Oreochromis niloticus: one gene and its partners. The protein of the gene in region 4 interacts with the protein of the main gene of each other region in a biochemical or structural test. Links are inferred from orthologs where the notes say so. Each region holds a gene or a part of one and is shown on either strand. Other genes may lie near its edges.

Region 1 (7,233 bases), on a different chromosome or scaffold from region 4:
CTTGAACCATGTTGACTTAGTTCAACTCTTGCTAACCTTCTCTATACTGCTCCATAGTGCCTTAAAATGACTTGTTGCATGCATAAATAAAATAAAAGTGAATCTGAATATCTGCGAGGGGATTAGAAAATGTCATTTCATGAGAACACATCACAGAGTATCCTTTGTGTAGCTTTACATGAATGTCTGACATCATTAGTCAACACCCAGGAGGTTTCAAATCATCGAATTTCACAGTCAAAGCTGATATAGAAGCAAAGTCACCTATGTCACCTATCACATCTATCAGACCTCTGTGGCACCAGCTTAAGCTTCAGATGCAAATTGCCAGTCCCATGCAAAATCAAGATTAGGATATTTTTAACTTATTTTTCAGATTCAACAAGGGTGAATAATAACTTTAATCTATGTCACAATGAGAATAGGAGACCCTGCAGACTGCTTTAAGTGCCTGTGGTATGCATTGCTGGATGTGGACTGGATGTGGACTTCTTCACTGTTATTATGATTGTTATTCATTGTGATGCTGCTGACATCGTTGTGACAAAAAGGATCAGATGATTCAAGGTCACATTAGCAGTGTATGAGTGGCACAAAATGTGAAAGAATGATCAACAATATTATAATATTGTTAATAATATGTAGATAACATTTTACACTACCTACATTGCAGTGATACATATTTATAAATGAATAATGTGCCGAGTCAGGTAGTTAAAGATAGCAATGTTGTTGTAAATCCTGACCTTCGTAACACTACTGTTAACATCTGTCTGTGGAAAGAAGAACATAAACCACCTGCAGTTGTGACTAGTCTTAAATCATGTTAGCTATTGTAATTCTATTTTATTAGTACAACTCTGAATAATTTAACAGTGTGCACCTGTCTCAATATAACTGCTTTGGTATTCCCAAAAAGTTGATTCTGTTCATCTGGATGTGGCATTTTCAGAGGGACAAATGTTTTGTCACTCATCCAAGTGACTTCTGAATAAGATGTGTAATGGCAAACAAACAACGGGTTTAGAGGATTTGTGCAGAACATTTGAAATACAGTGAAATGATGCTCAGGTTGTAGTGGATGTCAGGGGTTTTTTTTGCAGGTGTTTTATTTCATCATTATTATCAGTATTTCAGCAAAGAGCCATTTACTTGTTTTGTGTTAACCGTCAGAGCAAAACAGCGCACTTTTCCGAGCTCATCATTCATGCTAATGTCAGGGTGGTTAACACAGATCCACCCAGTGATAAAGACAAATATTGTCATCATAACCACTGAGATCATCCAACATTATTATATTTCTTGTCCAGCAGACAGACAGTCATGCAGTTAAGTGCTGCTTGCGCTTTCCTGCAGCATAATAAGAGGCTTATTTGCAAACTGTGATAATAATCAGTTTTACACGTGGTTTTTGCTTTCGAGAAATCAAGGGAAGGATTACTGGAAGTAAACTTTTAGCACAGATTTCCCCCTCATGTAACTGGCAGCAGATGTCAGACTGAAGATCAAGTTTGTCTTCAGCGGCTATTATAGTTACACGGCAGTTGTATAAAATTCTAAAATAGATATGGGCATGTTTGTAACACACATAAAATCCCTGCCACTACAACAGGTAAAAGTGGAATGAGAATATTGTTTGATTTAAATTCACTTCAAACAAAAGTACAATTTTCTCACCTGAACGATCATCTGAGTCATTGAACTCCACAACTACGGAGTGTCCATTGTTGGAGATGTTAATGGAGGTGCAGTGGTCGTAGTTTATCATTAAAGGGCCCAGATCGCGGTCACGTGAAGCCTCATTGGGGACAATATCAATTGGTGATTGCCGGTTCCCCTCTGCAACGGGGTAGTTTTTATACCATGAAGAAGGACCTATAGGAGAAACAAATGTAATCAAAAACAGACACATTTACAACACACACAATTCTGCAATCACAATGATCTGCACCAGATCTGTTAGTGTGTCACCTAACAACAAACCTGCAACTAAACTAATGAAGCTTTCTCCCCCGCGGCCACAACTAAAGGCTGGTGGCACCACCTAACCTTGGTCCTAAACAGGTATGAGGAATTCAGATAGACTGCCTCATTAACATTAAGGCACAGTAGCACAGCACAGAATAAGTTTGTTTAAGAACATTGGACAGAGCAAAAATAAAAATATTACACTCTCTGTAACTCAGGGAAAATTCAACTGGACTGTCAGACTGAGGTGAAACCGTTTATCCCTTTAAGCGTGGGGCTAATCTGGATTTAAATGCCGTCTTTAACGTCTGAGTAAAACACGAAGCACCGCAAACAGGCCGTTTATTCCAGTTAAATTGCTAATTGCCTCCACGCAGGAAAACAGTGCCTGGAGCTTGCATGTTGGAACATCTCACCGTCCTCCTTCCCGTATCCCCAGTGATGTCCCGTCATTGTCCCTGTCTGCAGGTTCCAGTCGGACCAAGCGGCACTTCGTTGCGCACGTGAAGGACAGGTAGGGACATCAGCGGGTACAACAAGTTTACGGGGAAAGGGGAAGGGCAAGTATACCTCTCTTTGTCACGCCCACAAGTGTGCGCGAGCGCACGGTCATTGCACGCTAAATACACACCTCGTTGAATAAAAGAAAAATTAGCAAAATCAAGAATGTGATCTACTAAAATCTAAAAACATTCTGTTGCTTTGGTGAATAGTTTAAATAGTTTATTATACAGTTTATTCTAGTTTAAATTATACTGCGCATGTATAAATGCCATTCTATACAGTTGCACTGCCTGAGACTTTTTAAACATGTCACTAGTCCTCATCCAAAATATAAGCCAGTTTATTTACAGCAGTTTTTGGTGCCCTTTGAGAAATCTTCCTCGCACTGCTTCCATGATATAGACATGCCAAATCAGTATTATTTAGTTTGTGCAATATTTTTTTTGTTAATTGCTGCTGCTGGTAGGTTTGGGATCTTTATTAAATTAAAAAAATAATAATTGTCAAATTCTTAATTAGATGTAATATTATTCATCCGAAACCTTGGCCCCGTAGGAGTTTAATGTCACATTTGAGCATTTTACTAACATACAGATGTACTGTAGTCCCCCTTTTTTTCTTTATGTATTTCTTTCTGCTTCAACTCTATACTCTAAGCTATATAATATATTTTGTAATACTCTATTATATAATAGAGTACTTTGTACTCCATACCATTTATTTTATTTTATTTTTTTTACCATTTATTTTAAAGCTTTAGTTACTTTTTGAAAAAAATTGTTAAAGATCCCAGGAAGACCCAAGTAATTACAATCATAAACACCTGCAATGGTCCAGTGATATAATGTGTATGATTCTTACAGAAGCCATTTTACATGACTATGATTACTTTAGGTATTGAAAATATATTTTGGTTTTACACAGGTTGCACTAATAATAAGTTTACTTAAGTTAAAAAACTAAAAGACTATTTAACTGTGCAAATAATTGTGTTTAAACTCCTCTGTAGCATTACTTTTCTGGTAGTAAAACTGTAACTGTTTTTTGTGAGTAACATCATCTCTAAACCATACTTCACAGCAAGTCTCACTGCCATGTTGTAAACCTTCATTTTCACTCTTTCTGCTATCCCACTGTCATAAATCACCCTAACACTCGTCTCCAGCCACTCCACCCAGCCTGCGCTCTCTTCTTCACCTCTCTTGTGCACTTGTTTGGTGCCTTGGTTGACCCCGGGTATTTAAATTCTGGGTATTTAAACTCATGTAACTTCACTACTCCTTGCATGTGCAAAGTCTCCCTCTCGTTCACACCCACATGTATTCTGTCTTGCTTCTACTGAGTTTAATTCCTCTTCTCTCCACAGCATACCTCTACCTCTCCAGGCTCTCATCCACCATCTCCCTGCTCTCACCACAGATCACAGTGTCATCTGAAAACAGCATAGTCCACAGAGACTCCTGCCTGACCTCATCTGTCAACCTGCTCATCACCATAACAAACAAAAAGGGCTTCAGAGGTGTAATGTGTCATCTGTCACTACTACATCTAAACAGACAAATAAATTAAAATCCCTAAAAACTACCCGAAATCAAATGAAAAAAAAAATACAGAAAATAGTGAGAAGAAAAAGATAAAAGACGGTCTGCTGAATATGCACAACATAAATATACAAATATAAAAGTGAATAAAATTCTGATTTGGAATCAATAAATATGTTATTTCTAACACAATATTAATTATAAAGCTGTTGATCTGTGTCGAAAGTGCAAGAGCGGATTTTCGAGCGGGCACTTTCGTGTCGAATCTGGCGCTGAGGAAGTCAATTTACGTCCATTAACGTCACTCAACACAGAGCTATCATGGCATCCACCAAAGCCTCGAAAGAGCAAAAATACGACCGACAGCTCAGGTTAGTTTAAACAGCAGCGTAGTTTTCACAAAGAAATAACATCCCTCTAGCTAAACGTGTGAGAGGTCACAGCAGCAACGCTGTTGGGGCAAGAGTGCTGAAGCTAGCTAGCGTTAGCTTGCTATGAGAGTTGCAGTTGAAATAAGCACCGGCGAGCTAATGCATTAGTTAGCCGTAAGAGTGATGTGACTGATGTGATGTTATGCTCTTTGTTTCTGTGTGGGCTCAGGTGTCACCCTGTTTTAACGTATTTATGAACAGCTCTTGATGGTTTAACAGGTGTAATAATACAGGGCTGTCGATGAGGGTGAATCTTTCTTACCAGCAGCCGAGTCATTCTGGGGAAAGTAGCTCACTGTGTTTGTTAGCAAGTGAGGATAAATGGCAAATGGCAACAAATGTTCGTGTTGTGTGCTTTCAGGCTGTGGGGTGACCACGGCCAGGAAACACTGGAAAATGCACACGTGTGTCTCATCAACGCCACGGCGACGGGAACGGAGATACTGAAGAACCTCGTACTTCCAGGTGAACACCTTTTCCTCTGTGTTAGTGACCGTGCTGCAGGTGATGGTGAAAACATCTGTCTGACTGAATGAATTGTTCTGTGTGTCAGGTATTGGAGCATTCACCATAGTAGATGGGCACACAGTCACAGGTGAAGATGCTGGAAACAAGTAAGTGGTTATGTTTAGCTTAAAATATTTTTATTCTATCAGTTTTACTCGCCTGGTTGCAGCTGACCTCTTAATCTCCTTTTGCAGCTTTTTCCTCAGCAAAGACAGCATTGGAAAGGTATGCGTTGCTGGGAGTTTCCATTTTCTCCCAACAGCTCTGTTGTCCTCTTGTTGAAGTACGCAGTGTATTTCCATATTTGTTTGAGTTCTTATCGTACTTTTTGTGCAGAACAGAGCACAGGCTGCCACTGAACATCTGCAAGAGCTGAACAGTGATGTCTCTGGAAACTTTGTCGAGGAGGTTGGTGTTGCTTCCCTTCCAAGGCAGTCTTGGCTGTTTGTAATCATGTGTATCATCTGTAGAGTAATCACATGGCAGCATGATTACACACACAAAAAAACCTACCAAAATCACTTATCACTATGGCTGTATCCAGCTATTTTTATTTAAATGTGTTGCACAGCTATTTTATTTTCAGCTAAAGATCATGAAATCTTAACAAGATTTAGCAACTTGTTTCAAATAATTTACCAAGAGGTCAATATCTGAAGAGTAGTTAAGTGTATGATGAAATTATTTGACAACATGCAGGTATTAACCACATTAACTTTTCCAGCTGTTTTCAAAACCTTAATAATGTTTGAGTAGAAATTTAAAACATCCACAGTGTTTGTGATGTTGAAATGAAGAAGATCTTTCTGCACCATGACACCAAGACAAATCCCACAAACTTGACAATAAACCCAACTCTGATTCAGATGAATGGAACGTATGGTTTGTGAATTTATGACTTTTGCCACTCTGAAGCCACTTGTAATTTCTGTCACTCCTGCAGGGTCCAGATAAGCTTTTGGACAACGATTCAGAATTTTTCCACAGGTTTACCATAGTCATTGGTGTCCAGCTACCAGAAAGGTATGAGATCATCTTAATCCTTGCATTCATTTACAGTGCTGTGCTAAAATCTTGAGACACCTGTCATTTCTTTATACTGTGCTAGGAAAATAGAAAATTGGTGCAGTGTTTTGAAACAGTGTACAAACATACATGGAAATGCAGCGTATAAGGAAAAAACAGTTTGTGCTATTCTAACAAGCTTGAAAGTCAACATTTGGTATGACCACCTTTATTCTTCAACACAGCCTGAACTTTCTTAAGTAAGCTTTCTTGTCATTTCTTTAAGTAGTCTTGAGGAATAGTTCTCCAGGCTTCTTGAAGCACATTCAAAAATCTTTCATGATGATGAAGAGCTTTGAATGATGAAGATGATCCCACACTGCTTCAATAATGAGGTCGGGGCTCGGGGAAAGCCAGTCCCCAACTGATAATGTTTCATTGTGTGTTTTGCTTTTACTACAGTTCGAAGTGTGTTTGGGATCATTGTCACGCTGAAATATGAAGAACGGAAGCTGATGCCAATTTTCCCCTATTTCTTAAGGATAAGACTTTCAGATACTGTTTATCTGCTGTCACAGTCACTTCTTGTCCTCTTCCACCTGGACACATTCGGCACTTTTCAAGGACTCTTAGGCTCTTTTGAAGTGACTTTGCTGGTTCAAAAAAAATTTTTATGTTGGTCAAACTGTGTTCTCTTCGGCATTTCTCATAGGTCCAACTACAATGATTTGGAAATTGTTTAAAAAAGATACAAGAAAGTCTGACTCCTTGGAAGTAAAATGATTCAAGCCTTTTCCACTGTACTGTAATACTGTAACAAAGAGCTGATGAAGAAAACTACGGCAGTCCATGAGTCATTTATTCTTAGAGAACGTTCATACATATCTATTGCAAGATTTTCCAATCAAATTAAACATACTTCATTGTCGGGCTGCTTTTAATATATACTTTTTTTCTTTTATGTAAAATGTTAACTCTTATTGCAGAAAGTTTCAGGACTGACTTAATTTTCTTGCTGGTCTTATTTTCTGTCCAAATATCTTCACATCTCTTCAAATCCAACAGCACGTGTTTGAGGCTCGGCTCAGTTCTTTGGAGTGCCTCTGTACCTTTCCTAGTCTGTAAGACCTACGGCCTCATTGGCTACATGAGACTGGTGGTGCAGGAGCATACAGGTAAGTCGCTCTTAGCAGCAGTTTTCTTCTTTAAATCCTTTTTATAGTCTTGGCATTCTTCAGTTTGTATGTCTAACCTGATAAGTTCACTTTTCAGTGAAC
Region 2 (6,947 bases), on a different chromosome or scaffold from region 4:
ATGAGACTACAGAGTTTATTCTGAGCTTGATTATAAATCAGTGATGTAATCGCAGAATCTGCCCTCATATATTGACGAGTGACTGACCTTAAAAGCGCTCACGTAAAGTATAAAACACACCTAACACCTAAACTGGGATTTCAGTGTTTGTAAAATTGTCTGTAGATGGATTCGTTCCAATCTTTGGCGGTGACTTCATGAATGAGGAAATGAAACTGAGTCAGCTGGTTCAGATGCAGTAAGAAGGGAGGAGCCAGAGAACAGTTTTAGTTCACAGAGTCTGTTACCATGGTAACTGGCAGAGAGTTTAAGTTAACTGTGAACCAGAAAACCCAGTTTCCCCGAGCTCAGGATTAACAAACTCCTGGAGCAGGGCCTGATGACGTTCTTCTTCCTGTCAAATCAGTTTATAAGCTCATTTTTTAACACTCCAACATAAATAAATCATTGCATATTTATGTTTGTCTGGCGCTAACGGACCTCCTGTCAGACGCTTCATCTGCCTTCACTGTTTGCTAGACGATATCAGCTGCAGATAATCAATACAAACTGTGTGACTTCAGTCTGCCTGTTAATAAACTCATTAATCTGAAGCTTCAGTTCAGGCTGCGACTGCAGCATTTCAATTTCACCTGCTGATTATACTGAAGATGAATCGATTAAACATTATGAAAAACAGCAACAGAAAACAGCAAGAAGGCCTTTTGTGAACTCCCTTTGTTTTTCAGATACTGTCATTTATATCTGTAGGTTTTAGCCCTGAGTTTCTGTGGTTTCCGTGGTTAAAAGCTCTATGATGGTGGGAAAAAATGCAGTTGGTAATCAGTTAAAAAGCAGCAACTGCTTTTTATGTCATCCTGAAAATGACAAAGAGGAAGAAGAGGTTGGCCAAGAGTTTCCCTTGTTGGCTTCACACTTATTTTCTACAAAGAACATGCTCTGTCACCATCATCTCAGCTTACACTACCTGTGGTGTACCACAGGGGTCAATTTTAGATCCTGTATTATTTCCTTAAAATACAACTTTTTACAAAACACACTAATGTTTGTATTAAACATCTTCAAAGCTTCAGTGATCTCCTGCAGCAGGTGTGTCATAATTTAAGGCTTGGTTAAATCAGTCTCCTTATTTCTTAAGGTGGTATTTTTGGTGAATGCATTTTGTAATGAATTTAAGCATTCAGGTGATAATTTGTAAACCTATGTCACTGCTTGTGATTTATCAGAGTGCCGTGGTTAGCCAAACACCAAACCTCAAAGTTTGAAAACTTAAGACAACACCGAAACGCCAGAAAATGCACTTCCTCTAACTCTCATGTTAGAATACAAATTTACAGCAGAAATAAACAACCTCTACAGCTAGTTTCTTTCTCCATAGTGACTGTATGGAGAGTATATTTAATATAACTCACCTGTTTAAATCCCATTAAATTCAATTAAGGGTTAAAGTGTGCATTATTGGCCTCTGTTAGCTGTCTGAACTAGACCTCTGGATTGGAGTGTTTGTGCATTTTTGAACATCTTTAATGAAATTATCTGACTAATAATATGGCTGTTGTGTGGTTAATCATACTAATAGACTATCCAAGAAGTCTGAGCCCCAGTTTAGGTTAAAGATGAACCTAAATCGAAGATTTAATTTGGATTTTAATTAGCAGGTATGCTGACCCTGTACACTGTACTGATGCAGCTTCCATGTTTCTAAATATGGTCTCTTCTTACTCCAACAAAAACAATAAAAACTCAGTCCAGTAGCCAAAGGGTGCTGCCACTCTAGTTACAACGATCTTTTAAAGTGCTGGTTGCTGCTCCGCAGCAGGCTTCTAAAAGCTGATCACTCAGAGGACAGTAGTGGTTCATTCTCTACTCTTGACTTAGTACAATATCAAAGAAAGCAGATTCCCAGAAGTTCTGTGACCTGCATTTTCTGTCTAACACAAATGGTTTCTATTTGTTTCCCATCTGAAACTAGCAGTTTTTTTCTGAAACAAGCCACTTACTGTCTAAAAACAACTACCTTCTGTCTGAAACAAGTCGTTTGTCTAATTTCCTTCCTGAAAATAGCCAATTTTCTGTATGAAATAAGCTGTTTTGGTGGCGCTAAAACAGCTTATTTCAGGGAGGATGAACTGCAAGGCTGTACCGAGGCCCAGTGAGAGACAAAGCCGGCTTATTTTGAACTGTGACTCATGCAAAGCTGCTCTGATTTGAGTTTTAAAACAAAACAACCACAGAGATGGGATCAGAATAAGACACCTTTAACGCTGACAGGGTCTATATGAGTGCAAGGCTGAAGCTCCGACCTTCTCCGTCTGTTTACCGGCGTCACCACACCCCCGTTAGCTGGAGCGACACTTTAACATTAAACCCGCCCGGTTCCCGGGAGAAATCCCGCTAGCAGGGCGGCTACCTTCACATTTTAATCCACAGCAAAGAGCGCCGTCACTCATGCTAAGCTAGCCTGCGGATTGACAGAAGTTGGTGCTAGCCCGCTAGCCTGCAGGCTAGCTGCTAATGCTAGCAGCTAACCGCGGATGTGACGATGATCAGACAGGTGGCATGCTAGCTGTTAGCCTGAGAGCGGCAGGCCCGCCGCAGCAAAGCGCCGCTTTCAGTGCGAAATAAAAACACTCCGATGCGATAAACAACAGTGGACGGTCAGATCCCTCCACCTGGGCGCTGTTTTACCTGAAATCCTTGTCGCTGGATGTCATTTTCTCCAGCAGGTTGGAGATGTGGTACGAGGCGCTCGCCATGTTGGTGCTGTTAGCCTCCTACTAGCAGAGTGCGCTCGGTGAGGATGTTCCGGCTGCGGGCTCTGGTGTCTCTGGCTGGCTGTGTGACCGCCCTGCTCGGATGATTTCGGGGGTAGAGAGTATGTTTCTGTTCTTCTTCCTCTTCTTCCACCTTTCTCTTCAGCTACAGCGACTGTCGCATCCCGGGGCGACCAGTTTGGTGTGTTTGAATGGAGCTCCCGTTCTCTCCGCAGAGGGGCGGGGTTAGCGGCGCTGGACGATGCGGGGTCGAAGGTCACAGTTTGACCAATTTTTCTGTCAGTTTGTCTTTCTAAACCCTCATAAAAGGTCATTTTACCCCAGATAAAATGAAAATCAGCATGAAACACTCACCCCGAGTCCAAAGTGTGAATTAAAACGACTCACTGAAAGTCTTTAAGTCATAGATTCGACATTTTATCTTTTTTTTTATTCCCTTTTTTTGACTGAGGTCAAAAAGAATCAGATTAAGAGGTTTTATTATCACGTGCACAGTAACATTCAGTAGTGATACACAAAAAAATAGTTTTAAAAATAGTTAAATAGAGGTCAGCTTAAAAAAAAAACAGCGAGGCATCCAAAGTAATAAAATGATAGCAGCAAGAGTGAATGGGGAGGTTCACAAGATGTTAGTGCGACCTTCTCTGATTGATGGTTTGGACATGTGAAGAGGAGGGATAGTGACTGTATTAGATAAAGGATGTTGAAGATGGAGCTGCCAGGCAAGAGGAACAGGCAAAGAAGATGTCAGCTTAAAAAAAACTGACTTGCAGAGATAAGATTAATGATTTCACTGTGGAGGTGACAGTCAGTCATCAGGGATAATGTCCAGTGTTGATAGGAGTCCACCAATCTGTAAACATCTGGGAACTGAGGAGAACACTTTTGGAACTTTTGGGAGAGGAATGTTGTCCCATGGAGCAGATGTTGCTCTAAAACCTGTGTATACCTTTTAGCATTGATGGTGTATTTCCAAATGTGAAAGCTGCTAATTCCATTGACACTAATATACCCCCATACCATCAGAAATGCAGGCTTTGAACTGAGCGCTGATAACAAGCTTGGTGGTCCCTCTTCTATTTAGCATCTGTGTTTTCCAAAAAGAATTTAAAAAGTCTGATTTCAAGGTTCAAGGTTCTTTATTCTTCACATGTATAGTTATACAAGTATAACACACAGTGAAATGTAACCTGACACGCTCCTCGACTTGTGCGAAAGGGAGAGGAAGAACATTATATATAATATATACATTAGGTGAATGTGCAGTAGTAGCATGTATGCAGCAAGCAGGTGAATTCTGTACATTAAGTGAATTAAATAAGAATAGACAATCTGACTATTTTACAAAATAGACAATATGAACATATCTAAAATTAAAGGAATTTGAAATGTACATTGCGCCGGTGGGTTTAGAGTGTCTGGAAGAGAGTCCTGTCTCAGTCACTTATGGATGATGTGAGAGGGCGGGTGTGTGTGTGTGTGTGTGTGGGGGGGGGTTAGGGCCCGGATGGCTTGGGAATAGAAGCTCCTCTTGAGTCTCTCTGTCCTTGCCCGGATGATGCGGAACCTTCTACCGGATTGCAGAAGTTGGAACAGTTTGTTGCCAGGATGGGACGGGTCCTTCAGTATCTGCGCTGCTCTAATCCAGCATCTCCTGGTGTAGGTGTCCTGAAGCGGGGGGAGAGCAATCCTGCAGCAGCGTTCTGCTGTACGGATCACTCTCTGAAGAGCTTTATTCTTGAGATGGCGCCCAACACCACTGTGTCGTCAGCAAACTTCACAATGGTGTTGGAGCCGTGGGTGGCCACACAGTCTGAAGTGTAGAGGGAGTAGAGCAGTGGCGAGAGGACACATCCCTGTGGTGCTCCTGTGTTGATAGTGATGCTGTTAGAGACGCATCTACCCACCCTCACCACCTGAGTTCTGCCAGTGAGGAAGTCCAACACCCATGCACACAGACGGCTGTTGAGTCCCAGATCCCTCAGCTTTGTGAACAGTCTGCTGGGGACTATTGTGTTTTGTCTGACCTCAAAGCAGCCCGAAGATCACAGGCGACCAATATTGCGCACAGAGATTCCTCCAGAATCTTTCAGTTATTTAGTGTAGATGATGAGAAATAAAAAATTTTATTTCATTTATGAGATTTGTTTTGCCATTTTAATGAAGCGTTAGGAAAGGTAAAAAAAAAAAAAAAAAAAGATAAAGATACTAAATGATCATTTAAAACACAGCCTCAGTCATTGAACTCATACTTCAGAAATAAAAGACACAACAGATAAAATGATTTTTTTTATCTTCTAATTATAACTTTCTGCATAAAAGTTAAACAGAATAATATTTGAAATTTAAACAAAACAAAACAAAAACGTCCCTCATCAGGACATAAAAGTTGCCTCCTTCAGTCATTCTGCTCTGCTCTATATATTTAAGATGTAACTTCACATTCGCTTCCATGAAATCCTCTCACGGCCCCTCAGGTTTACCCACTGTCGCTGCAGCGGAACTGCAGGCTGAGAACATCTAGACTAAACTGTGTTCTTGAATCCATCAGTTTTACAAGCAGTGTTCAATGCTGTGATTCACCTGCAGCAGGTGTTTTTATTCAGAGCCTCAGTGAGAGCTCCACCCTTTAACAGGACCTGTAAACTGTGTGTGTGTGTGTGTGTGTATGTGTGCGTGTGCCTGTGTGTGTTTAGAGCTATATTGAGCATATTATCCTCTGCTCAGAAATGAATCACCACTCACACAGTAATTTTATACATGCGGGAGACGCAGTCAGGATATTCAGGATGCTGTTTTTGTAGCTTGAATGCATTCAGTATGCAATTCAGTGTGTGTGTGTTTGTGTGTGTAATACTGATGTTGTGAGGACATGAGTGTTTACAGAGGTGTACTGTAAGATCCTCTAGGGACTAAAACAGTGAGTCTCACTGTGTAAATATGAACATTAAAAAGTAAATCTGGATTTTATTTGATGTTAAAAGTCGTCTGTGTGAAATTCAGGAGAAATTAAATATTGCTCTTAGTAAATGGGGACTGTATTTTATCCTTGGATTCTGCTAGGGCAGCTATGTATGATTCACAGGGCAGTCCCTCACTTCATCTTCTGTCTTAAAAAGGCTGTTTTAGCCCCTCCCCCTCAGCCTGAGATGACCATATTAGGAATAGCTGCTCTTGGTGACATCACAAAGGTAAATGAAGAGAAAAACTCCTTGAAGTTGAGTGCTTAGCACAGTTAGAACATTTTTAATCAGATCAGAAACATGTACATCCTGATCTGAAGAAAAAAATCAGCTGTATTACACGGGCTGACCTCCGTGTGAGCTGCTTAACTGTGTGAATCTACAGGACAGTTCAAAATGCATGAAAAATGTAGAACAAATGAGGAAGGACGCATCAAGTGTATAATCTTTGCTAAAACACACCTATGGGTCAAGGAGAATGAAATTTCCATAGTGCATCAGTCGGAGCCCATATTACCAATAACTACCTCAATGCTGTTGGTCAGCAGGTGCTGGTGGAAACTGTGATAAAGGAAGAAAAGGAAGAGGAGAGGGATAGGCATATTAGGAGGCAGTGGGAGAGAAAGAAAGGCAGGCGAAGAAAGACACAATGAGTTTTAGAGGGAGGCAGGTAGAAAGGTGACGATACAAGGAGAAGAGGGAGTGAAGATAGATTTAAATGTCTGAGGGACAGCTCAGGCTGAGCTGTTTGGACGTGCAGAGGAGAGAGAATGGATATACTGGACAAAGATGGAGCTGCCAGACAGGAGGAACAGATGGGATCTAGTGGACGTAGCGAAGGAGAACATATATGCTGCTGCATAGGATGTAAATGGGGGCAGATGATCCTCTGTGCAGAGGCCTGAAGGAAGGAGCTAAGAGAAAAAGAAGAAGACTTCTCAGTTTGTACGAGATGTTCTGATTGAACCTCTGTTCTAAGTGAAACCAGCAGGGTTACTTTCCACTTCTTTTTTTTGGATAATTTTATTTTAGATTTTCAGAATATTAAACAAAAACAAAAACAGACTGGCTCCGATGTGTTACAGAAAAAACAGTTAATTCAAATAAACATGCACATCACAAAACACCACAGGACAGAAATACCAAAAGGTGGGATAGATGAGAGTTTACAAATCTGTGTCCAGTTTAGCCCAGTCTGGCTTTCACAAAG
Region 3 (7,377 bases), about 24 Mb from region 4:
ATAAACTCACAATTTTAACACTGAAGCACGATGAGGGACAGATGTTAATCCAACTCCAGATGCTTTTCTTTCCAAGTTCCACCAATGTCCACTGCTTTCACGGTGGATGGGCTCAACCTTTGAGGAGCAGTGCACCAAAGTATAAGACATGACATTTCCTGTTCCCAATAGGTGGCGCTCTGACTATTCCTGACAATGGGCATAGCAATCTGTTCTGGGTGGGAGTGTTATCATGCCTGTGAACTTTGTTAGCGATCGGACTGAATTTCTTTTAGTTATAGCAATTTTGTTCTTCATGGCGAAACATCGAATTTCGCTAATCCGCCGGGGTTTGACGAAAACTCACAGTTTTCAGTGTAACCCAAGACCAACTCCTTAAGGCTTTTACTGGACAATTGTGAGGTTGCTGGGGCCACCCACCTCTATACTGTACCCCAAAGTGTAAAACATGACATTTCCCATTCCCACTAGGTGGCGCTGTTGCTGATGTCAAATATAGCACATCTTCAGGGGCGGAGCCTTATTATATGTGAGATGTCTGGAGGAGATCGCAAAAAGTATGTGGAAATCAGACGCTTGCTGAAAACATCTCAAAACAAGTGGAGCACTGTGAGTATGACGGTTAAACTTCTCACGTCAATAAGCCCGGGCTAAACTAGGCTAACTTTGTTATAGGTAGTTTAGTGCTCTTCATTATGGGGCGACGTTTGTAAACTGAATCATGCTGAAATTAATGGCAACATTTTTCCACATTTAGCTCAAAACCTTACAAAAACATGTTTTTTCGAGTCATTTTTTACAGAGTGCCTTATCTGAGACTTTAACATGCTTATGGCGGAGTGTAACAACTCTGGAAGAGCAGTGCACGGTCTGGACAGAGGGACCTTCCTAAGCATGCTGCACAGGATCTTTGGGCTGACTGATGACAGGATCACGGGTAGAGGTATTCAGTTTACAGTTATTTATATTTATTTATTTATTTACAACCCAAGTTCCAAAAAAGGTGTGACGTTGTGTGAAATGTAAATAAAGGCAGCATGCAATGATCATTTTGAATTTGCATAAACTGTAGATGCAATTTTTTTTTGTAGATTGGCAAACCTCGACCCATCTTTACTTCTGAGGAACTCCGTTTCTCAACGATGCTGTTTTGGTTTTTTTTCAATATATATCCAGTCATGTATCCAGTCATCCTCTGTTGGTAAAACCCTATGTTGACTTTTGTTAGTGACCTACTGCCAATTAACCTAAAGTTGCAAAATGTTTCTCTGTTTCTTTTTTAGTACCACTTACTTTTGCACCCTACTGTTGCCTTCTCAGCTGTCTTGAGATATGTTGGTGCCATCAAATTCAAACTATTAGGAGACGTGAGTCGTCGACCCAGAGTTTTGAGTTTTGTATTGTACTTTGAGTTCTGCCTTCTAGTTTCTGATCTGTGTTCCTTAGTTGCTTTTTCTCCCCTGTCTGCTGTATCCCCTCGTCAAGTCCGCGTTTCTGTGTTATGTTTCCTGTTTTAGTTTGAAGGTAAAGTTGCATTTCAGTTCACCTTTTTACTCCGTGTGTCTGCACACAGCCTCCACATGACAGAAGATCGCATCCAGAACATGGACCTAGCAGACCGTGAGCTGTATGAGCGTCGGGAGGCAGCCTTTGGCCAGCTGGAGGAGCTCCGCTGGAAGCCCTGGCGTGCTCCTGACTATGATCGTATCGTCTATGGTACTCGTGTACTTAAGCCCTGTGTTTTTCTTTGGTCTTTGGTCCTCCACATGACACAAACAGAGCTAATATTGTTTTTGAAATAGTAAAATGTCAATAAAATGGTGGCAAGTAAACTAAATCTCCAAATTATCAACAACAATTCAACAATTTCTTCAGTACGAACAATTAAAATCTAAAATTAAATCCAAGACATGTTGTGAGTGTAACTGTCTGTCATTCAGTCTTCACTACATAAGACAAAGACGGCGTTGTCGGCATGGAAGAGTGGATTGAGGGACTGTCTGTTTTTCTTCAAGGGACCTTGGATGAAAAAATTAAATGTAACTCCTCAATCATACTTTTTTTACTTAAGCTCACTCTCACACCTTCACATATGTAACTTATCTGCCTAAAAAAAAATTCCTGTGTTTGGCTGACATGGTAGTTTTTTCTGTCCTCTTTCTGTTCCTTTTCTCTCACTTTGCAATAATAAAATGAGACACAAAAAAGTCTTAACAGATGAAAAAAAATACAGCTGAAAATAAGTATTCTTCAGAACTCGAGTGCAAAAATCCACATCATTTAAAAATGATTGTGAAAATGTACAAAGAAACAATGAAAAGATGTAAAGTGACTAGTTGTGTGTGTGTGATTATCTTAACTTGGGTTTGCTTGGACTAAGGTGGAACTAAGTTGTTGTTCATTGGAGTGGTGGATTTTGAGAGACAAAATCTAACCTATAGATATAAAATTATACGGACTTAGCACACATGCAGCACACCACCATAGAAACTTTTCTCATCCATGTGTTGCTTTGCTGAGCCGAAACAAAACCAAATTATTCCGAAGGTTCTTCAGACTTTGCCAGTTAGGCATAATGAACGGAAGGAACTTTACAAAGTAGACCTCTGTGAACTCTTCGGCAGGATACTCGTCCAGGGGCCGGTACTCCTCTACAGCTCCATAGAGGGCACACAGCTGAATCAACTAAGTTATAACCCCAATTGCTGGGACCCCTTGGACCATCACGTAACGACTCTCTAAATTTATGGTGTAAACCTGCAAATAATGCAACACTTGACTGTGGTACAATGGTGCGAAAATGTTTGTGTGAAAACTGCAAATAGTGGCTATATTTATCGCCCATATCATACATTTTACAGTGGTGGCACATTTCTGTGGAGGCATTTTGGACTGTTTAACCCTTCTGAAACTTTTGAATGTTTTCCCAAAGTTTTGGGGATCATCAAGATGTGCTGTGGCGGATGTGAGACAAGGCTTTTTGTTCTTTGTGGTCAGCAGTGGTTTTCTCATTGGAACACTTCCATGGATGCCATTTATGCCCAGTCTCTTTCTTATTGTTTAATCATGAACTCTGACTGAGGCGAGTGAGGCCTGCAGTTCGTTAATGTTGTTCTGGGTTCAGTTGTGACCTCCTGGATGAGTCGTCGATGCACTGAATGTTGGTAGGCCAGCCACTCCTGGTAAGGTTCACCACTGTTACAAGTTCTTTTCCAATTCTGGTTAATGGCTCTCACTGTGGTTCACTGGAGTCCATAAAATCCAGAAGGGAGCAAATGCTTTTTAACAACAATGTAAGTGACGTTCCCCTGTAGCAGGGGGTGTCTCACACCTTAAGATACCCTCTTTTGGTCATATATTTCTAAACAGAAGCATCTTCTTACCTTAACTGCTTTGGCTGCTGGCCTGGCACACACAGACCATATCGATCGACTATGAGTTTGTTTGCTAACACACTTGGTGTTAGCTTGCTTGACGTGTTGAACACGAAAAAGAAAACTATGTGAAAATTGTGTTTAGTAATCCTGTTTAATCCATAGCTGTCACTTTTAAAAAAGCAAAAAAAATGCTTTTTACACCACCCCTTGAAGCTAATATCCCTGAACAAGGTGAGACAGCTTAGCTAACAAACCACCTAGCAGTATCGTTTCAGCAAAATTATTGAGTTTTGTTGAACTCAATAATTGTTGTTAAACGATTTTTAGCTAAATGTTGGCCCGTTCTGTGTGTTGTTCTATTTTTGTATTTTTTTAACAAAATGAATGCTGCTGTAAATTAAATGGCCCAGGTGTGTAGTTGACACTGACCAAATATGAAGCTGATCTGATCAAATCCCTAGGCGTTCGCAAAAGTATAACGCCTGGAAATGGCAAAATCGGCGCCAAAATCTCACATTCAATTCAAAATGGTGGACCTCCTGTTGGGTTTGCGTTGATGGGCCCAATTATTTTTTTCTTCGTCTTGGCATGTTACACGTGTGAGCCAAATTTCATTCATGTAGCTCAAACTATATGGTCATAGCACTTTATTTAACAACGCATAGGTGGCGCTCTAGAGCCATTTTGCACCGCCCATATGCGAAACTATTAAAATACCAAAAAATTTTTTTACCAGACCTGAAACGTGTGCAATATTTCTTTATTTTTTCTCTATTTTTTTGAATATGTTAAAGCCCTCAAAAAGCCACTTGTTTTGTCTGAATAATAATAAACGGAGCAATTCCAATAGGGTCTTCGTACTTTTAGTGCCCGGGCCCTAATTACTGAAGTAAAAACCAAAACAGAATGTCTAAAGACTTGAAAGAATCTGATCACCACGGGCACGCCCACGCTTCCCGGAGCGAGCACGTACTGTACAGACACTGAGAACAATACGTCAGTACGTGCTTGAGCCTGCCCGAAAATGTTCTCCCGTGTTGTCGGATTTCGAAGGAGCGCAAGACTTTGCGGTGAAATAATACATTTTTATCCGTGAGGAAACCAAAAGCAAACCGCATGTGTGGAAACTGAAGTTATTCGCAGTTCCATTACTTGGTGAAACTGTGATATTGGCTGGCTCGAACGGGAAGTTTGTGTGATCGTTTTTCCCGGAGTGATGTCGAATCCTGGGAGTCGGAGGAACGGGTCCAGCATCAAAATCCGACTGACAGGTAAAAGCGAGAGCGAAAGAAAGAGCTTACTGTGCACGTTTAAACCGGAACTCAGTGTTTGCTCGGTAACGTGTTGATTTTAGCAAACCTAACGAGACGACGCGAAGTGTCTTTGAGCCTCTCGAGTCTGCTGTTCGCCCAAACATCCGGTTTTTGTGTGGCAAACACCAGTCGAGTGCTAGCTCGTTAGCTTAGATGCTAAGTAAATTACCGAGAGGACAGCCAAGGAGCTGTTCACTGTCCTGTGAGTTTTGCAGCTGAGACAGGCGACTAGTCCACTGGTCTTGGTGAATGCCGACGCTTGAAAGCCACGTTCAAAAACTTTATCAACCACTAACAGTGGCTTCTTAGCCTGCTAGCTAATAGTAACATTGTGGTTAATGTTGACCGCTAGCGCTTGCTAGCTACACCCTTTTTTGGGGGTGCTGACCACCAGCCGAAACCTCCGCTTCAGCCGAATGCGGCGAGCTCTGTAACGCGGGGGGGAGAGCAAATGTCGAGCGGCAGCCTGTATGAAAATTGATCTCCCGCTAGATTTGACATCCTAGTCCGGATTACCAATGAGTATCGATTGGCATTTCGCTGCTGTGTCAGCTGTAGCTGCACAAATGTCGGACTCGTTGAACTTGTCCCCACTGAAGGAAGTGCAGCATGTTTGTTCTTCAGGGGTCATTAATTCAACCGAATTGAAATATTTTTTATTTTATTTTTCAGTTTGTGGGTCGGAGTCTGCCCTGTAGGTCATATAGAAGTTTCCTCCTCCGCTCCACATACAGTCACAGCTGGAACAAAGGTTCCTACTGTTGATAATGTAACCCCACTGGGCATCCAGGGGCCTCTATTCAAATGGAAATGACCCATCTGAGCCACTGAGCAGACGCCTTGTCCCTCTGAGTCAAAAATGAGCAATAACACACACTAAAATTTGCTTTCCGTCAGACTAAATATTTCTTTGTGTGGTTTTCATGGAGCATTGCAGCAGTGTACTGCAAAGGTATGATTGTGATGGATGTCTTTTAAAGCAAATGCCTGTCAGCACTGATGAGGTGAAGTGCTGGCTGAAAATGCTCCCCACATGCTGTTTACTTACTGACTATTCCTCTAAGAGTGGATTTCAAGAAATAAGGACGGGAATCAGACTAACAGATCCAGCACACTTCGTCACTTATCCCACTGTTTATACATTTCAGTTTGAGGTTATCTGCGCTTGACGTTATCACCGAGTCTCACTTAGCCACGTAGATCTGCAAAAGAACAGTTCACCACTTCTTTTGTTTGAAATAATAACAAAGGACTGATGTCACTCTTAACATTCAAGAGTGACACTGATGTCACTCTTGACATTCAAGAGTGACATCAGTGATCAAAATAGATTATATCATTGTATCTACTGTAAGCGGGTATTTTATATACTACTAAGATTGGTAGATTAACTGATAACAAATCATTTTAGTCAAAATCAGTTAAAACACTGCAGTCATCTGGGATTATAATAGATCGTGTCCTCTTATGGTAAAGTTTACTGTAAGCGACTCTGGTAAAATAAGCTCTACAGGAAGTATGTTATCATAAAGTGTTTCATCAGATGAGTTAAGACGAAAGCAAGCAAAGAAGGTATGTGTGTGTATACTAGTCAACCATTTTTCAACTTGTATGCAACCAGAGGTTATTGCCCCTGACTGTGCCCCGCCTCCACAGGTATGAGTGGAATTCTAATTGGGTAAGGAATGTGCAATGAGCCAATGGGAGTGCAATGCTGCCAGGCTGGCCAGCTCTGTTTAGTCTGCCAGAAAGAGTTGGTTGTCCCCCCCCCCTCTCAACATCAGTATATCTGAAAAGCATGCACGTGTGTTTGTGCAATAGGGACATAAGCATGTTTGACACTGGGTCAGATCTGAGAGACTTTGTTGTGTTTACAAGTGATTATTGTGTCTTCCTGTCTTCGTTATCTTTTTCTTAAGCTTAGGTATTGCTTTGAATAACATGGAAGAACAAAGGAAGTCAAATACTTAGTTTAGTTTTTTTTTCCTTTTCATTATTTTGAAACTTGTGTAATGCGGTATAGACATTAGTTTAGGAAGCAAAAGGATACTGGTTGAATTCCAGCCAGAGACACATGAATCCCTGGGGTTGCATTATGTTGGGCATCTGGCATAAAACTCTACCAAATCAACCTAGTGCATCCACTGCTTGTGAGAAGGGAACAGTCAGAAGTAGCTTCTGTATTGAAACCAATGTAACCAAATTATTTATGTCGTACACAGTGTTAAATATTTTGAAAAAAGCACCATATGTTTGATCATATGCTTATTTTGTGAGTTTTGATACCAAAAACTTGCAACTGTAGTAATATTTTTTTTTTTTAAAAACACACTACAGCTAGCTGTTTTTGTTTATCTCTGGTTTTTGAGCGTGTGAAACATAACATTTGAATGCAAAAATACGGTCAAGGCAAGATGCAGAACATAAGTAGGTCAAAAATAGTGGAGAAAAGGGTGTTTTTGTTTGTAAGTGAATGGCGTTTTATTGTGGAAAATGCCATGAAAGGAATTAAAGAATCAGTCATTCAGTAGGATAAAGTTAGTGGACGCAACACGTAGAGCAGGGCGATATGACCAAAAATATTTATCACGATATACATTTGAAAATTTGCGATAACGATATAACTGACGATATAATTGATACTAGACAAAATACTTTACAACTCCACAACTTTATTAGTGCAAAAA
Region 4 (7,453 bases):
CCGGCCTGCAGCCGCCACCGCAGGAAGTCTGCAGGCAGGCCAGCAGGAAGACCAGGTGGACTCGGGAGACCTGCAGGACCGTGGAACGTCACACGAGTCTGTCAGCGATTAAGAGAGGAATCCACCTGCTAGTCCTTTATGGGCTAACCTGCAGAAACCTCAGGACTTTCACTTCTTACAGCTCAACCATGAGGACATCTAAACACTGAGTGAAAGGCGGCACCTGATTTATAACACCAGAGAAAACAAGAGCCTCGTGGAGAAAATGGAAGAAAAAAGTGATTTTATCATCATTGGAAGCCAAATTTATAAATAAAGTGATGATTAACTAATGGAGCTACATTAGTGAGCCTCTTATTGATGTTCTCAGGGCGCTGTGGGCCGGACTTTACACAGGTGAGACCTGTTGGAAGACCAGTGGAGGCTGCTGAGGGTCAGACTGTTTCAGGATTATTTCAGGTTAAAGAGCTCAGAGGGAAGTGGAGACGAGGGTGGAGCAGAAAGAGAGACGGCTGTTTCTCACCTTAAAGCTGAAGACAAACTTTCCTCCTTTGTAAAAACCCTGAGACACAAAAAGACAAACAGAGGCAGACTCGTTAGCTCAGCATCATCTTCATCTCCCGATTCAGCCCCTCATCCTCACTCTGTACATCCTGAGGTTTCATACACCTGTGTGCCACATGAGTGGGAACAATCGGCTCTGGTGTAGCAGCGTCTGAAACCGGACCTGCGCTCACAGGTGGAGGTGTTTCACTGCTTTTACAGACAGCACTGCTCGTGTTACTGATGCATACCTGCATCTCTCACAGGTGTTTGTCCTCAAAGTCAGAGAGGAATAAAGTTTTTATGCAATCACGTCTCTGAATGAAAACACACACACACACCTCGTCTGGTGAAATGATGAGTCTGAAGTTGAGGAGGTCGTCATCATCGGGGAAATTGATCTCACACGTCTTTGGTAAGTTCAACTCATTGATGTCTGAAAAACAAACACAGGCAGGTGTTACTGATTCTGATTCGTCCTCGGGAATCAAAGACCTCCTTCATCTCTTCTTCTTTCACTTTTCAGAGGCTCACGAAAACATCTGGAGCTCTAAATACCTTGTCTGTATGCTAGGACCTGTGAAAAAGCAGTGCTGACACAAGAGACTCTGAACTGTCCCAAAAGACTTAAAAGTCCAGAACAACATCTGTAACACTTTCAGATAGAACTGGGACCTTCTCCAAGACCTCCTTCAGCATTTCTCCATTTCACCTTGGCATTTAATGACTTCTAAAACCTCTGGACCTCTTTAAATATTCTTAAAAATCTCCACATATTGTGTTCTTTAGGACTTCAAAAATGTCATCATCTCCAAAATCTCAATAACCTCCAGAAAAGAACACAAACCTCCTTAATCAACTTAGATGAGCATCAATGAGAAATAACGGCCTAGACCCACGAGGTAAAGAAATAAAAGGACCATTATGAAACAAATCTAATCAACTTTTATGTGTCAAAACTTTTTTGCCAATGTGGAAGAACAACTTCCAAATGTAAAAAACAAAAACATGTTCTCGCAGGTTTAGGGGGTGACTCTGAAACCACTGGATCCCTTTTTGTTGTTTAAGGCACCAAAACATCTGGACCATATTCAGAACTGCACTGATCCCGTGTGGTGGGACAGAGCGGGCCCAGGTGGTCGCTCAGGTCTCAGAGAGATGCTAAACACAGGTTGGAACCCAGAACCACGGGCCTACAGATACCCTGAGGACCCCAAATCTCTGCGACCCCATAAATCATTCATCAGGTGGGTGGAGGCAAGAAGAAGAAGAAGTAGGTGGTTGGTGTCCGGGGGCTGGGGCATCAACGCCCAGCCTTTTGGCCTGTGTCACTCCTGCTCCGATTATCCTCCAGATAAGAGACCAAAAGGTGTGAAACCACCGAAAACCGGCCAATCAGATCCATGGAAAACAGCGGGCCCATTCCAGCAGATCACTTAGAAGTTGAGAAGGGATTCAGACCTGTCCAGGTCAGATGCTGCAAAGTAGACAGACAGAGCTGATAATTTAGACAGATCCTGATAAGGTGAGCTGGACTCTGAGAATAGGGACCTGAGCCTGTTTTCCTATTGGTCACCCACACAAGGTGACTCACAAGGCGTCTGACAGGCAGGCAGGACCCTCAGAGTCCACTGTGATCCACCACACAGGTTCAGCCTGGTTCTAACCCTGCAGTCTAAGCCGGGCTCTGATCTGCGTTCACCTGTCGCCCGGCAGCCCTTCGGGTTGACCTGCACCTGAGGAGGATAGCGGGTCAGAAAGGTGGGCGCTGTGCTCAGGTGTTCCAGTGAGTCCCTGTGTTCCTACCTCACCTGCTGTTGAGTAGAAGTGGACCCCACGGAACTGACACAGCAGTTAGAGGCTAGCTGCCGTTAGCCGTCAGTGTTTACGGCTGTCCGGCGTTAGCTGTTAGCTGTTAGCTGTTAGCAGATGTGTTCCGGGTTCGTGTTGTTAGCTGCTAGCTGCTGCTAGCTGCGTGCTAACACCTTTAGCCTGCGTTTTGTTTTCATGTAGCACAGCCGGGCTAGCAGCCGTAGCTAACACCAGCTTCAGCCGCAGTTAGTCGGCCAGCCGTTAGCCCGAGTGAGCTACAGCAACACCGGGTCTGGGTTTGAGAGCCCTGGGTCCCGTGGGTTCGGTGTCGGCCCGTGGCCGGTGGGTAACTCTCGGCTAACAGAGCCTACCTTTCTGTATTCGAAGCTGGGCCGCGCTGGCTTTCTTGCCCCCGGCTCCGGTTCTGTTTCCTCCAGCAGATTCCTCGTCTTTCTTCTGCTGCTTCAGGGAAAAGAGCTTAATCATCTTCAGTTATTTGACACACGAGGCGTCCCTTCTGTGAGCCGTCAGCGGGTCTGAGAGGGTCTGAGAGCGGGGTGGTTTCCCAACAGCACCGTGATGTGAATGGAGCCGGTGCGTCTGATCACGGAGGCAGGAGGAGCTAGCAGCGGAGCTAGCAGCGAGCTGGCTAGCGGGGGGGAGGAGGGAGGGGAGGGGAGCAGAGGGTGTGTGTGTGTGTGTGTGTGTGTGTGTGTGTTGCTCTGAAGCGCATGAAAGTCCACTGGTGCCAGAAGAAAACAATCGGGAGATGGTCTGGGCGCTGCTGGAGAGAGTGAGGGGGCCACAGGCAGGTAAACCCAGCTTTAAAAACTCTGGGTTCAACAAAAGTGATGAAAAGCACCTGAACATGAGTTTGAAGGTGTTTGTGATGAACAGCTGTCTCCTCAGTGAGGGAGGAGAGCGTGCTCAGCACCTCCGGCCTCTGTGCTGCTGTTCCAGTTCAGCCCGGTGGAGATGTGGACGTGTAGGCTTCCTGTCTCAGGACAGGTGCTCCATGCAGTTACCCTCTTCCTTCTGAAGCTGTAGGGGTCGTGACCCGAAGCTGAAGCTGTTCAAGGCGGACAGGAATGGAGACGGCACGTGTCCTGAAAGCAGACAAAGTAAAAGCACTCGTTATGCAGAATCACAAGTTATGTTATTGGCTTGTGGTTGCTGATCCATGCATGTGTACATCAGTGTCATGTTGAGGCTGGAGAGCCGAACCAAGCATGCCGAGACAGACTCTGCAGGACGTTCATCTAAAAGTCAACTTCATGTCTCTGAACTGAGAATCAGCCTGAGGTGAGTCAGTGAGGCTCATGCTGGCTGTGCTCACCTTTGCTGCAGTCTGCAGAAATTCAGCCTTGCAAAAATAAAACTAGTTTTTCGTGCAGTCTGCTCGTATTAAATCAGAGTCCCATAACTGTCTGCCTGTAAGTACAGGTGGGGTTGATATGGCAGCACAGGGGAAGGTGGAATTTAAAACATTGACCTTTTGCTGACAGTTTGGATCCAGGTGGATGTGACCAAGAAAGTGCAGGTAGACTAAAAACACTGTAAATAAAAAACAGCAGTGTGATGATTCAGTGTAGTCTGCAGTTATTACAGCGAGGAGTCCCAGCATCTGTGAGTTATGCTTCCAACCCAGACTTCTACAAACTCGGGACCAAATAAACACAGTTGGGTCAGCTTCAGCAAACATCAGCATAAATCCCGTTTTTATGCCAGGAAACGTCCAGCTGGCTGTCACTCAGTCAGAACACCATCAGCAGAGCTCGTCGTCACAGACGTGAACCTTCAGGTTTGAGCTGGAGCTCAGATCACAGATCCACTTTCAACAGAGCCACTGTGCCCTCTGAGGAAATGTTTATAACCGAGTGTCTGAATCCACAGAAGAAGGTCACTCACGGGCTTCATTCTCTTTATAGAACAGTACTCCACACATCACATGACTTTGTTCATACAGCAGACAGTGACCACAGTCAAATGTAAAATTATGGCAGTAAATAATAAAAACAGAAGACATGCACTGGGAAAAAATGACACAGTAAATCAAATCTAATGTAAAGCTGGAACGAAAAATGAAACGTGTTTTATGGAATAAAATATTTATAAGACATACCGGTATTGTGAATAAACCCTGTGGTGAACACAAGAATCAGCGCTGTTGTGTTTCTTTATAAAAATAAAAATCTCGGTTTTTATGAGCTGTAAAATTATTCACCAGCATGTTTTAGTTGTTGATTGATTTCATTTTTATTGCACCAACATGTATGTGCATGTGTTTGCTGCATTTTTTAATCTTTTTTACCTTTAATTTCATTTTCTTCTGGATTCTACTGATCTCTATATTCTATTACATTTCAAATGTCTTGTGTGTGCTAAAAAACATTTTAGCTTGACGCTTTTTTGGGGGAAAGCGGGACAACCACAAGTCCCACAATGCCCTCCGCACTGTGACGTGGCACGGAGAGGCGGGGCGTGTATATCGTCTGTGCCTATATTTTATTTAGCGGTTTATTTATTTATTTATTTATTTTATTTTCCGTCTCTGTCCGAGGCTGAAGCAGCGCGCGGGCTCTGCGGTCACCTGCATGATGTCATCAATGCGGGGTTAAACGTCCCGCGAGCCACCGGCCGATTCACGACACTGAACCGAATCACGCGCAGCACCGCAGCCTCGCGCCACACAATAGAGTCGCAGAACAATAGCCGCGCGCGGCGCTGCTTTCCCAGCCTACGGCGGCGAACGGGCCTAGTTCGTGCGGAGGAGTATCACCGGGAACGCGTTGAAAGCGCCGCGCTGCGGCGGGAACGGGCCGTTGTGTGTGTTTTGGAGCCCCTCGGGAGGAAGAGCCGCGGAGCACGCGGAACGCGCTGCGGGGGGGAGAGCGAGGCGGACCGAGTGCAGAGAGAGAGGCGGACGCAGAGGGGAGTGAATGGGCACGACTGCGCCCTCCGCCTCACCGATATCCATCCGTTCTCTATCGACACAGTTAGACCACCGCGGTCCTTCAGGCAGGCCAGCCCGGAGAACCGGAGCCAGCGGCAGCCAGCGGGATGGCACGCGCATGAAGCAGCGGCGGGCGAAGAAACAAGGAAGCGGACGGCTAGCTGCGCTCAGCACGGGCTAACGTGGGCTGATTGTTGGCGGATACCGATTCTAATGAGCGACCCAGGAGCATGCGAGCTGATTCAGAGAGGTGAGCGGGGAAGGGTGCGTGAGGGTCGGGTCTGTTCACCTACACCTGTCCGGCAGCTAGCTGCGGAGCGGGGACAGCGTGAAAGAGGAAGCTGCTGGAGGGGGCGGACGGGCTGCTAGCGTGCTAGCGTGTTAGCACGCCTAACGTTAATGTTTTAGGAGAGGCTGGGGAGGGGAGGGGAGGGGAAGGGAAGGGGGGCTGCCCTCCTACGTGTGATATTAGGTAATTAACGGGGCAGACGGTATGTACAGGTGTGTGGTCGGGGCAGGTATGCCCAGGCTGGCTGTAGGTGACTGTGACGGGATAGCTGCTAGCTGTTAGCGGCTATCTCCAAACGGTGCCAGATGCGCATCTTCATTATTATTGCTGTTAGCTGCAGCCAGCCTCTGTTTCCGTCACATGTTTAATTAGAAAATCGCGTTTCAGGTGATGTTCTAATACAGGTGTTTCTGTGGGCTCGTGCTGGCCTGGAAGGAGGAAGCTGGTGAAAACGATCCTGGGATGTTAGCTAAACACAGGAAGCAGGATTGCTTCACCCTCTCCGTTTTCATGCTTTAATGTCAGGAATAGTATTCCCTTGATTACTGACAGGCACTCTGAGACTACAGCAGCCGCAAGAATACCCAGAAAATACAATAAATATTCTAAGTAACGTGAAAGAAACACACAGTGAAGGTTCAGAGCAGGCTCAGCAGCCTGTTCAACCAAAACACCTGGATTTAAAAACACCTGGATTTGGACCTGATAATTAAGCAGACCCGGTCTCTTAGTGATGTCAGTAGGTCGAGTTCCACCTAACAGGTTTAAATATTAATGTTGACTCTTTAAGCATGTGGCTGCTCTGCAGAGGGCTGCTTGCTGTTTTTGGTTCTTTTACTTTGCATCTTTTTTGGAATAACACTGTGTCCCTGTTGGATTTATGCAACTGTAAACCTGCAAAGATGCACTTTATGGCCTTACACTCTGCCCCTCAAACCCCAGGAAGTTCTTGTCTCACTGGAACAAAATAAACTGTCCGCAGGTGAGCTGCTGTGCACTCACCTTTACCTGATGGGAAAGCAGGTGCAGCAGATTTATATAAAACAGGTTTTGTCGAGTCCTTTCACTGCTCATACCGAGGCCGCTCATAATCAGCTTTGAGGGGGATTCTAGTGTCTGATTAGAGTTGTTGTGAGGAGCGTGTTCTTGGTCTCCCCGCGGTGAACTTTGAACTCTGACTCCAGAAAGTTTTATTGTTTTTACCAACGAACTGAACAGTTTGAAGTCAAGGATGAAGAGAACATAACCTGAGACTGCCAGATGTTTACGGCTTATTTGTAACACACACTCCAGTCCACAGGAAGTGACCTCGGCACAGCTGACACTGCTCCACAAATGCGTGCACCAGACCCTGAACTGATCATCGTTTACACAGAGGAAGCTTTTTGAAAGTAATTATCCGTTAGAGCAAATATGTGTTTTAATGCTCTGCAGCCACTTTTAGTGCGACTGGGTTTATACAATAAAATATCAAATTAATGTCACTGTAACAAAGTGTAAAGCTTAACAGTTGCTTTAAAAATAATAAAGGTACAGAGATCAATCGCGTCTGTCCACACAGTGAAATGTTGTTAACATCAACCACATAAGTGACGATTAATTAATCGAGCAGCGCCGTGAGGCTGCTGCGAACAGCATGTCAGCTGCATGTTGGCGTTTTGGTTTTATTCTTATAAAATGTTTTTTGTGCCACGTGAGAAAAGGAAAAAAAAACCAACAACCAATGGCTCCTTCTGGTTATCGATCAGCTGAACCTGATCAATAGTCAGTATCAGTCAGGAGGAGGAGAGGGAGGCGTGTTCATCAGGTTTAAACTGCGTTAAATTGGCTCCGTAACCTGACGGCCGCCTTCTTAC

The links.
Region 1: of the proteins of ube2m (region 4) and nae1, one has a biochemical effect on the other in vitro, tested with the Homo sapiens proteins (4 studies listed by BioGRID, with this or other methods). The link is inferred for Oreochromis niloticus from reciprocal best matches to the Homo sapiens genes UBE2M and NAE1.
Region 2: the proteins of ube2m (region 4) and cand1 form a complex in vitro, tested with the Homo sapiens proteins (2 studies listed by BioGRID). The link is inferred for Oreochromis niloticus from reciprocal best matches to the Homo sapiens genes UBE2M and CAND1.
Region 3: the proteins of ube2m (region 4) and smurf1 form a complex in vitro, tested with the Homo sapiens proteins (2 studies listed by BioGRID). The link is inferred for Oreochromis niloticus from reciprocal best matches to the Homo sapiens genes UBE2M and SMURF1.

The regions. Positions count from the first base shown.
Region 1 is NC_031965.2:17,375,341-17,382,573, forward strand, and holds the start of nae1 (NEDD8-activating enzyme E1 regulatory subunit), read left to right. Parts: upstream 1-4,227; 5' UTR 4,228-4,334; coding exon 4,335-4,384; intron 4,385-4,805; coding exon 4,806-4,909; intron 4,910-4,997; coding exon 4,998-5,058; intron 5,059-5,145; coding exon 5,146-5,176; intron 5,177-5,287; coding exon 5,288-5,359; intron 5,360-5,894; coding exon 5,895-5,974; intron 5,975-7,021; coding exon 7,022-7,131; intron 7,132-7,233. Other genes in the region: ca7 (carbonic anhydrase 7), read right to left, coding at 1,678-1,875, 2,385-2,421. UniProt on the Homo sapiens protein: Regulatory subunit of the dimeric UBA3-NAE1 E1 enzyme. E1 activates NEDD8 by first adenylating its C-terminal glycine residue with ATP, thereafter linking this residue to the side chain of the catalytic cysteine, yielding a NEDD8-UBA3 thioester and free AMP.
Region 2 is NC_031981.2:19,952,379-19,959,325, forward strand, and holds the start of cand1 (cullin-associated NEDD8-dissociated protein 1), read right to left. Parts: upstream 3,024-6,947; 5' UTR 2,757-3,023; coding exon 2,689-2,756; intron 1-2,688. UniProt on the Homo sapiens protein: Key assembly factor of SCF (SKP1-CUL1-F-box protein) E3 ubiquitin ligase complexes that promotes the exchange of the substrate-recognition F-box subunit in SCF complexes, thereby playing a key role in the cellular repertoire of SCF complexes.
Region 3 is NC_031969.2:10,628,752-10,636,128, reverse strand, and holds the start of smurf1 (E3 ubiquitin-protein ligase SMURF1), read left to right. Parts: upstream 1-4,363; 5' UTR 4,364-4,593; coding exon 4,594-4,648; intron 4,649-7,377. UniProt on the Homo sapiens protein: E3 ubiquitin-protein ligase that acts as a negative regulator of BMP signaling pathway. Mediates ubiquitination and degradation of SMAD1 and SMAD5, 2 receptor-regulated SMADs specific for the BMP pathway.
Region 4 is NC_031969.2:34,663,975-34,671,427, forward strand, and holds the start of ube2m (NEDD8-conjugating enzyme Ubc12), read right to left. Parts: upstream 3,012-7,453; 5' UTR 2,842-3,011; coding exon 2,727-2,841; intron 2,721-2,726; exon of another isoform or gene 2,355-2,720; intron 2,280-2,354; exon of another isoform or gene 1,051-2,279; intron 980-1,050; coding exon 885-979; intron 563-884; coding exon 524-562; intron 1-523.